Rattus norvegicus: one gene and its partner. The protein of the gene in region 1 purifies or fractionates together with the protein of each later gene. This does not show direct contact. Links are inferred from orthologs where the notes say so. Each region holds a gene or a part of one and is shown in the gene's direction. Other genes may lie near its edges.

The links. The genes of interacting proteins can lie anywhere in the genome.
Region 2: the proteins of Gls (region 1) and Sirt5 purify together in Homo sapiens (affinity purification with western blotting; 3 studies listed by BioGRID and IntAct, with this or other methods). This does not show direct contact. The link is inferred for Rattus norvegicus from reciprocal best matches to the Homo sapiens genes GLS and SIRT5.

What each region holds. Positions count from the first base shown.
Region 1 is NC_086027.1:56,874,584-56,878,083, forward strand, and holds part of Gls (glutaminase kidney isoform, mitochondrial), read left to right. Parts: intron 1-1,302; coding exon 1,303-1,369; intron 1,370-1,882; coding exon 1,883-1,933; intron 1,934-2,701; coding exon of another isoform or gene 2,702-2,716; exon of another isoform or gene 2,717-2,730; intron 2,731-3,500. UniProt on the Homo sapiens protein: Catalyzes the first reaction in the primary pathway for the renal catabolism of glutamine. Plays a role in maintaining acid-base homeostasis. Regulates the levels of the neurotransmitter glutamate, the main excitatory neurotransmitter in the brain.
Region 2 is NC_086035.1:21,540,257-21,544,548, reverse strand, and holds the start of Sirt5 (NAD-dependent protein deacylase sirtuin-5, mitochondrial), read left to right. Parts: upstream 1-1,492; 5' UTR 1,493-1,505; exon of another isoform or gene 1,506-1,919; intron 1,920-4,292. UniProt on the Homo sapiens protein: NAD-dependent lysine demalonylase, desuccinylase and deglutarylase that specifically removes malonyl, succinyl and glutaryl groups on target proteins.

The sequences.
Region 1 (3,500 bases):
GGGAAATGGCTCATTGGTAGAGCACTTATGTAAAATACCTTATCTATTCTCTAGTGCCAGGAGGGAAAGGAGGGAAGAACAGGATAAGAGCTTTTCCCTATTTATTACTGTTAGAAATGTTAAAGGTAATACTGAATGTCACTCTTATTTCTGCCACTACTCAGCAAAAATACTATTCTGCTTCTGGACTTTTACAGGTTGATCTCTCAGATGTACTGTGTAATTTGTTTTCATGATAATTCTTTCTTTTTAATTACTCCAGGGATCCCTTTGTAGGTTATATTATAGAAAGCTTTAAGGCAAGACTTCTGTGTCTCTTCTGTTTCCTATGAAAGACTTAATCATCTGTTTGACTGTATAACTCCTACTTAAATGCAGGCCTTCTTCAGCTCATTTCAGTAGTCTGCTATTTCACTCCTTTTTCTTTCCCCAACTACTGTCAGAGTTTGACAGGGAAACTTGATTAAGTATTCCAGATTATGTTCTAGGTTTTGACATTTAATACCTCTAAAATTTTGGTCCCCAAGGATTGAAGAGATGAGATGGCTCATGGATAAGATCTGTGGCTGGTCTTCCAAAGGACCTGAGTTCACCTACTTGGTGGCTAAAAACCAGCTGCTAGTTCCAGGGGACTGGGGACCTCTTCTGCCTCCATGGGAATGAAGCACACAAGTGGTGCACAGACATACATGCAGGCCAATCACACATGACATTAAAAATATTTGACAGCTGGGCTATAGTAGTTCACACCTTTAATTCAATCACAGCACTTGACGGATAGAGGCAGGCAGATTGCTAAGTTCAAGACCAACCTGGTCTACAAAGCAAATTCTAGACAACTAGGGTGACATACAGTGTCTTAAAAAATAAAAAGCAACAACAAAAAAATTGTCCTGGAGGTTCTACTTTCATACTTTAGTAATTGCTCCTGCTTCATGGAACATGACACTTTAATCCAGTGACTGTTCCAGGTTCCGTTTTATGTGTCAGCTGTTTTGACATTCTGTCAGCTCCCTCACGTCACTGTATATTATGATTCTAAAAGACAGTTTGACAAGCCATTTCAGCTTATTTCAGTTTGGCATTTTAAAATTAGCTTCTATGTTCAGGATGTATGAAATTTAGAAAAGATGAATTGATGTCACTCCTTTCGTTGTAAGAAAAGGCTTGCTGCCCAAGGGAATGGGACTGTTCTGTTGAGAGAACTGAGACAGAACCCAACAGGCCTGAGTGCTAGATCACAGTCTTTATACTGTACTTTTGTTAAACAATTCAAGAACAATCATAATTTTTTTCTTCTAGGTTTCAATCTGAACGAGAAAGTGGAGACCGAAATTTTGCAATAGGATATTACTTAAAAGAAAAGAAGGTTTTACATTTTTTTCCTATTCAATGTTACTTTTGTTTAATAAAAGGACATCTAAGAACTCTACATTAGCCTTTAATTATATAAAGTAAAAAGTTTTTACAAAACACTCTTGAGTCAGTGTTAGCCTATTACTCATTAATATTTAATTTATGTATTTGGTAGTATTAAAATATTTGACTACATTCGTACAAATTCTGGTTAGTTTGTTTTTTTTTTTTTTTTTTTTTTTTTTTTTTTTTTTTAGTTTGTTTTTTTTTTAAGTGCAGTATTTGACTACTTTAAAGAAATGTAAGGTTATATGATTATAAATTATTTAATGGTTAAAATTTAGGAATTTTATATAACATGATGTAAATTTATTTTATTATTATATTCTTTTATGGCAAAGTAAAACATTTTATGTACCTTAAAGTTAAATACTGGTGTGTTTTTTTGTGTACTTTTTTTGTCTGGTTTTTTGTTTGCTCATGTTTTCATTGCTTTTCTGTATTTTGGGATTTTGCTCTTTTCCAGTGTTTTCCAGAAGGCACAGACATGGTTGGGATACTAGATTTTTATTTCCAGGTAATTTTTACTCTTAGTTGTTTGAATTATCTTTGTAAGTAAATAGCTCTGTCACATTTTATAAAATATAGATGTCTTAGAAATCCTGACTCTAGGCCATGAGAGAATAAATTTCCATTGACTTTCAGATGTCATGAAAGGTTGCTTCAAGTCCATATATCCTAAGAACCCACACATGAGAACGGGAGGTGGGAAACAGTGTAGAAATACATTTAGATGAAGAGGGACAGTTTTAAAACCTGATTTCTCCTGTTGTACTTTTATAGATTTTATATTTGCCTTGGAAAAACTTTTTTCAGAGGGTGTCTAGCAATATTTTGAAGTGTCATTCTTTTCTGCTGTCTTGTTATCCTCTTAACTGCATCTTTTTTTATCTGATTCATTTGGCATTGAGAATTGTTCAGCACATGTGTCATGTAGTATGCCTGGGCCTCTAAGTTAGGATGTCAATGTCAGGAGCATCCCACACACATAATTTCCTATGGTGCAGACATCAGTTTAGGACAGTCTTCTTGGAAATCCCTCCCTTCCCCATGTAAATCATGCTGTAATGTGGAGATGTGTAGACTACATTTTTAATTTTCTCATTTACTTTGTGTTTGTCTTTACCTGTGAAGGTGCTTTGATTTTTAACCTTATAGTATCTTTAGAAGATAGCTCGATGGGAGTGCAGGTCTCAGATTCTTATTTACTTAGTGTGAGAGCTGTAGTGGGGATTCAGTCTATCAATATAACATTAATTCAAGAATGACCTATTTCATTTACCAGCAAATACAACACTGAACATATCATGAGACGTGAGTAACTCCTCAAAACTCACCTGAAATTAGTGTCAGTTTTACTCTAACCTATAAAACATTTAATTTTGGCTATTACAGTTAGATTAATACTACTAATCTATTGTAAAATTTCAAATCTTTAGTATAGAAATCAGGAGACACCCATGGTGGTGTTACTATATTCTGTGGAGAAATGGATTTTACTAAGAGAACATCATGCTTTCAGGAAATCATTTTTAAATTGATATTTGTCCAGTTAGGAGACTATTACTTTATGATAAGTGAATTGATTAATACTTAATTAGGACACAATTAAGGGAAATTATTTTGTTTTAAAAAGTTCTTCCCTTCTTAGGTAGTGATAATGGGAATTTCAATCCTCTATGAAAAGCAAAATTCTGATTAATCCTAAGTATAAATTAGAAAATTATTTAAATGGGAATTTAAAGTTTACTTCTGAAAGTATTTGCCCACTCAGGCAGTGATAATAGGAATTTAAAGCTCTCCTTCTCTCTTTTGAGATGGGTTCTGGCTGGCCTCCAACTCACAGTACTGAGCTATGCAGGGGTTTTTGTTTACAACCATACCTGGCTAAATGTTACTTCTTTTAGAAACTATTTTCCTAATAAGACTTTTGCTCTGTGGGTCAGTGTAACAACTTGATTAGGGAAGCTATTCTTCTCCCCTTGGTTGCTGCTAATTAAGAGTAAAATGTGAAGGAACATTATTTTAGGTTTATGGGTAACTTTGGGTTTTGTGAGGTATATTATTAATGTTGTCAATGTTCT
Region 2 (4,292 bases), on another chromosome or scaffold:
TTCTGCCTCTCTGCCTCTGCCTTTGCTGGGATTAAAGGTGTCCATCACCACTGCCTGGCTATGAATCCAGCTTCCTTAAAGTTTCTAGAGGCCCTGGAATAGTTCCTCAGAATCTAAGCACTGCAGAGTTCAGTGAACCAGTGAGCTTTAGTTTTATATCAGCCATTTCCACTTTCAAGCACCTGTATGGTCAAAAACCATAACCATACAGTGCATGGAACTACTGCTCGCCGAAACCTCAGAAGCACCGTTGATTCTCACTCAGCGGTTCAACATGCCTTTGTCTCTCCTTAGAGGAGATTGCTTTTCAAAGGTCTGTAATCCTTCCTGCTTGTGAGACTCTTCTCTATTACCCTCCCAGCTCCCCAGATGCCTTTCTGGTGGCATCTTTTACCATGTGCACCTACCGTGGTATGGATCACCAAGTTTCAAGTCTGACCTGAGTAAAGCCTGAGCCTGGGAAGTCTCATCACAGACATTACATTTTCCTGCCCTCTGGCACTCCCTTGGCCACTGATTCCAAAATATTGAGGAAACATTATAGGCTGAGAGCTTTCAAAACCTACTTTTAGTAAGGGTTCTCAAATGCTTTGACCCTCCTTCTAGCCCACTGTCCAAAGGTTGGGGAGAAATAAAAAATGGTAAAAAGGACAAGGAGATGTGGACTCGTTTAGAAATAGTTGTTTGCAGTGATTCTCATCTCCACTGTCAGGATACCAGCAGTCCAGTTCACTAGTTTTAGGATACCAAACACGAGTCAGCAGTGGCAGCACGATCCAGCAGAAACTGCCAGGCCTCCGCCCAATTGGACCCGCTGGGACACCAGGAAGAGTTCTTTGCTGCGCCTCCCTCAGCAAAGCAAAAATCAGCAAAGACTTGAGACCAACCAAGCGTTGCAAAGCTAGTTAGGCAAGCACCTCATCACTGTCCATTGGGTCCTTGTGCTCTCCAAACATCACGGTGACCTCCCATGGGTCTTGCCTCAGCATCACAGGTCACAAACAGGAACTTCCACTACAGACCATATCTTGAGTGCGGAGGTTGGGGAAAGGTGGCCTTTCCAAGCCTAGAAAAAAGGTTGGAGTGGATGGTGCATCAGGGCTGGGATATGGGGGGAAGTCCCTAGGACTTTGATGAAATACAATACCACGAATGCTAGAACCCGTGGGTGATGGAGGGCTACTCGCCAGGGTTTGCCGCAGAATTTCAGGGGAAACGACTCTGATTTTGCTAAGCTCGGTACTGAAACTGCCATCCTCCAGCGTGCTCAAGGAGGCAACAGAGTAGGCGTTAGTTCGTGACCTATTTGGACAGAGGAATGGATCTTGGAAGGTCACAAAGACACATCCAAGTCGCCTCACCCTCCACTGCCTCGCAGTCCCACCAATATTTTGCCGCGCTCCCGGTCTCCGGCAGGGGCCGCTGCAGCCGGGGTGCGACACCAGGAGTCGGTGCGCTCCTCCCCAGACCTCTCGTGCCTGCACCGTCCCCACCGCCTTTTGCAGGTTCGTCTCGGGCCCTGTTCGGGCTCCCAGCTTTGTCAAGGCTCCGCGCGCCGCATCCCGCGCATGCGCGCCTGGGTGCGGGTGGGTACCGCAGCGACCTTGTGGGCGGCTGGATGGGCTACGCGTAGGAGAGAAACCCAAGAGAGCAGCTGGGCCCGGGAAGGCAGTGACCGGAAGGAAGGGCACTTTGGCTAAGGTGACAAGGGCCGGTTGTAGTAGTGGGTGTGGGAGTGCAGAAAGGGTAGGATCGCGACACAGCCTGAAGGTAGAGCGGGCAGGATTTGATGATCTTGGCACCAGAGGGAGGGGGAAAGGTCAAAATCAAGCCACGAGCCGGGAGGATGGCGCCGCAAAGTTCTGCGTGGGGGGTGGGGTGGGAGTGGCGCAGTTTTCCAGATGGGAGATAGGAGCGAGGTAGGCCGAAAACCCTCATAGGGTGGGGGCTGGAGGCTGGGCACACACGTGTGATCAGCTGGGTCCTGGGCTGTACCCTTCTTTAGGGTTAGATGGCAGGGTTAGATACCCCTGACTGGAGCAGATGTGAGTTGAGCGGGTCGGCGTCAGGGCCTGGGGCTGCTGGGGTACTGATCTCATTTGTGGTGTCCTAAAAGCCTTTACGGAAGGCCTGTGAGCTTTCCTGCAGTCCAGTTGCCTTGTCTTCTGTCCCATGACTCCTCCTGCGTTTCAGTTGATTGTGTATATTTCTGGGCCGCAATGGGGGTGTTTTAATATATGCATATATTGTATATATGAAGAGAGAGCCAAGCTAACTAATATGTCTGTCATCTCGCAATGTTTTAGCAAGAACCTTTCTAGTCCACTCGTTTTTAAGTTTTGAAATGTACACATATCGCTTCATTATCAACTATGGTTGCTGTGCCCTGCAAAACCTCAGTCAGTCTTATTCTCTCTCCAGCCTAGGGTCCGTGCCCTTTGACAGTCATCCCCATGACCCCATCTTGTTCCCCACACCCAGCCTCTGTTGACCATCATTGCTCTTTGCTTCGGTGTGTTTGACCTTTATCTGCCCCTCCTGTGAAATCGGTACCGCTGCCCTGCTGTGCTTAGCTTAGCTTAGTTCACTTATGCTAGCAGGGTCATCCAAATGATAGAACCCGTTCTTCTGATACTGCATTGCTACCCTTGCCTCTTCTTCTGTTGGTTAACACCTAGATTGCTTCCGTGTGGGTGACGCCACAATTAACATCGGAGCGCAGATGCCTCCTGCCCACACGATCTTCAATCCCTTCAGAACAAGCCAGGAGGGAGGGGGCTTGCTAGAGCACATGCTAATTCTGGTTTGAGGTTTTTGAGAGATCTCCATATTGTTTATCAAAATGGCTATGCTAACTGACACAGTTATGCTAACTGACGCAGTTCCTTTTCTTGGACTTTAAAAAAAAAAGATTTATTTATTTATATATGTGGATACACTGTCAACATCTTCAGACACACCAGAAGAGGGCATCGGATCCCATTATAGTTGGTTGTGAGCCACCCTGTGGTTGCTGGGACTTGAACTCAGGTTCTCTAGAAGAGCAGGCTTAACCGCTGAGCCATCTCTCCAGCCCGTCACAGTTCCTTTTCATCCACACCCTTTGTTAACGTTAGCTTTTGTCTTTTTCATAACAGCCACTTCCAGTAGATTTGTGGCGATAGTTCATTGTGGCTTAATTCCATTGTCCCGATGTCTTCCTTTGAGAAATACCCATTCAGGTGCCCTGCTGCTTAATTTAGGGTTCTAAAATTAAGTGGCTTTCTTGCACCGTGTGTGTATGTGTGTGTGTGTGTGTTTGTGTGTGTGCATGTGTATACTGTGTGTATGTATTCTGTGTGGGTATACTGTGTGCGTAAACTGTGTATACTGTGTGTGTGTGTGTGTGTGTGTGTGTGTGTGTATACATACAGGATCATGGCATGGGACACGTGTGGAGGTCAGAGGACATCTTGCAGGAGTTGGTTCTCTCCTAACATTTGACTCTTGGGATTGAACTCAGGTCTTCAGGCTGTGGTAAATGCCTTTATCCTTGGAGTCATCTCATATATATATTATATACATATAAATATATTATAAATATTTATATATATTATAAAAATTATATATAATATATTAATTTATATAATATACTATATAATATATTATAATTTATATAATATATATTATATCTCCATATATTTTATTTTATTTAAGTTATTTAACATTTTCTGAGATTAAAAGAATATGTGTATGGGTGTTTTGCTAACATATATTTCTACAAACTATGTATGTCCAATGTCTCAGGAGGCTAGAACAGGGTGTTGGGTTCCCTAGAATTACAGTTACAGATGGTTATGAACCACCAAACAAATGCTAGGAATCAAACTCTGATCCCTGGAAGAGCAGCCTGTGCTCTTAACTGCTGAGCCATCTCTCTAACCCCCTCCATATATTTTAGACATTAGCATTTATCAGATGTATAATCTGAAATATTTTCCCACTGTGTAAATGACTGATTCCTTTACCACCCTGCTTGTTTCTGCTTTGATTCCCTGTGTTTGGGGTCCTAGCTAAGAAACCATAGTCCAAGCAATGTCCTAGAGCTTCCATCTTCTCCTTTTCCACACAGCGCCACCTACAGGTGGTATCCTCTGGTCTTTATCCTCTTGTCACTGATGTTCATGTTGTGCGAGGCAAACAACAGTGGAGCCTGGGCTTGGTGGCTCACATCTGTTATCCCAGCAATCGGGAAGTTTAGACAGGAGAACTGCCGTGAGTTCCAGGCCAGCCTGGATTGCTGCTGAGTCCTA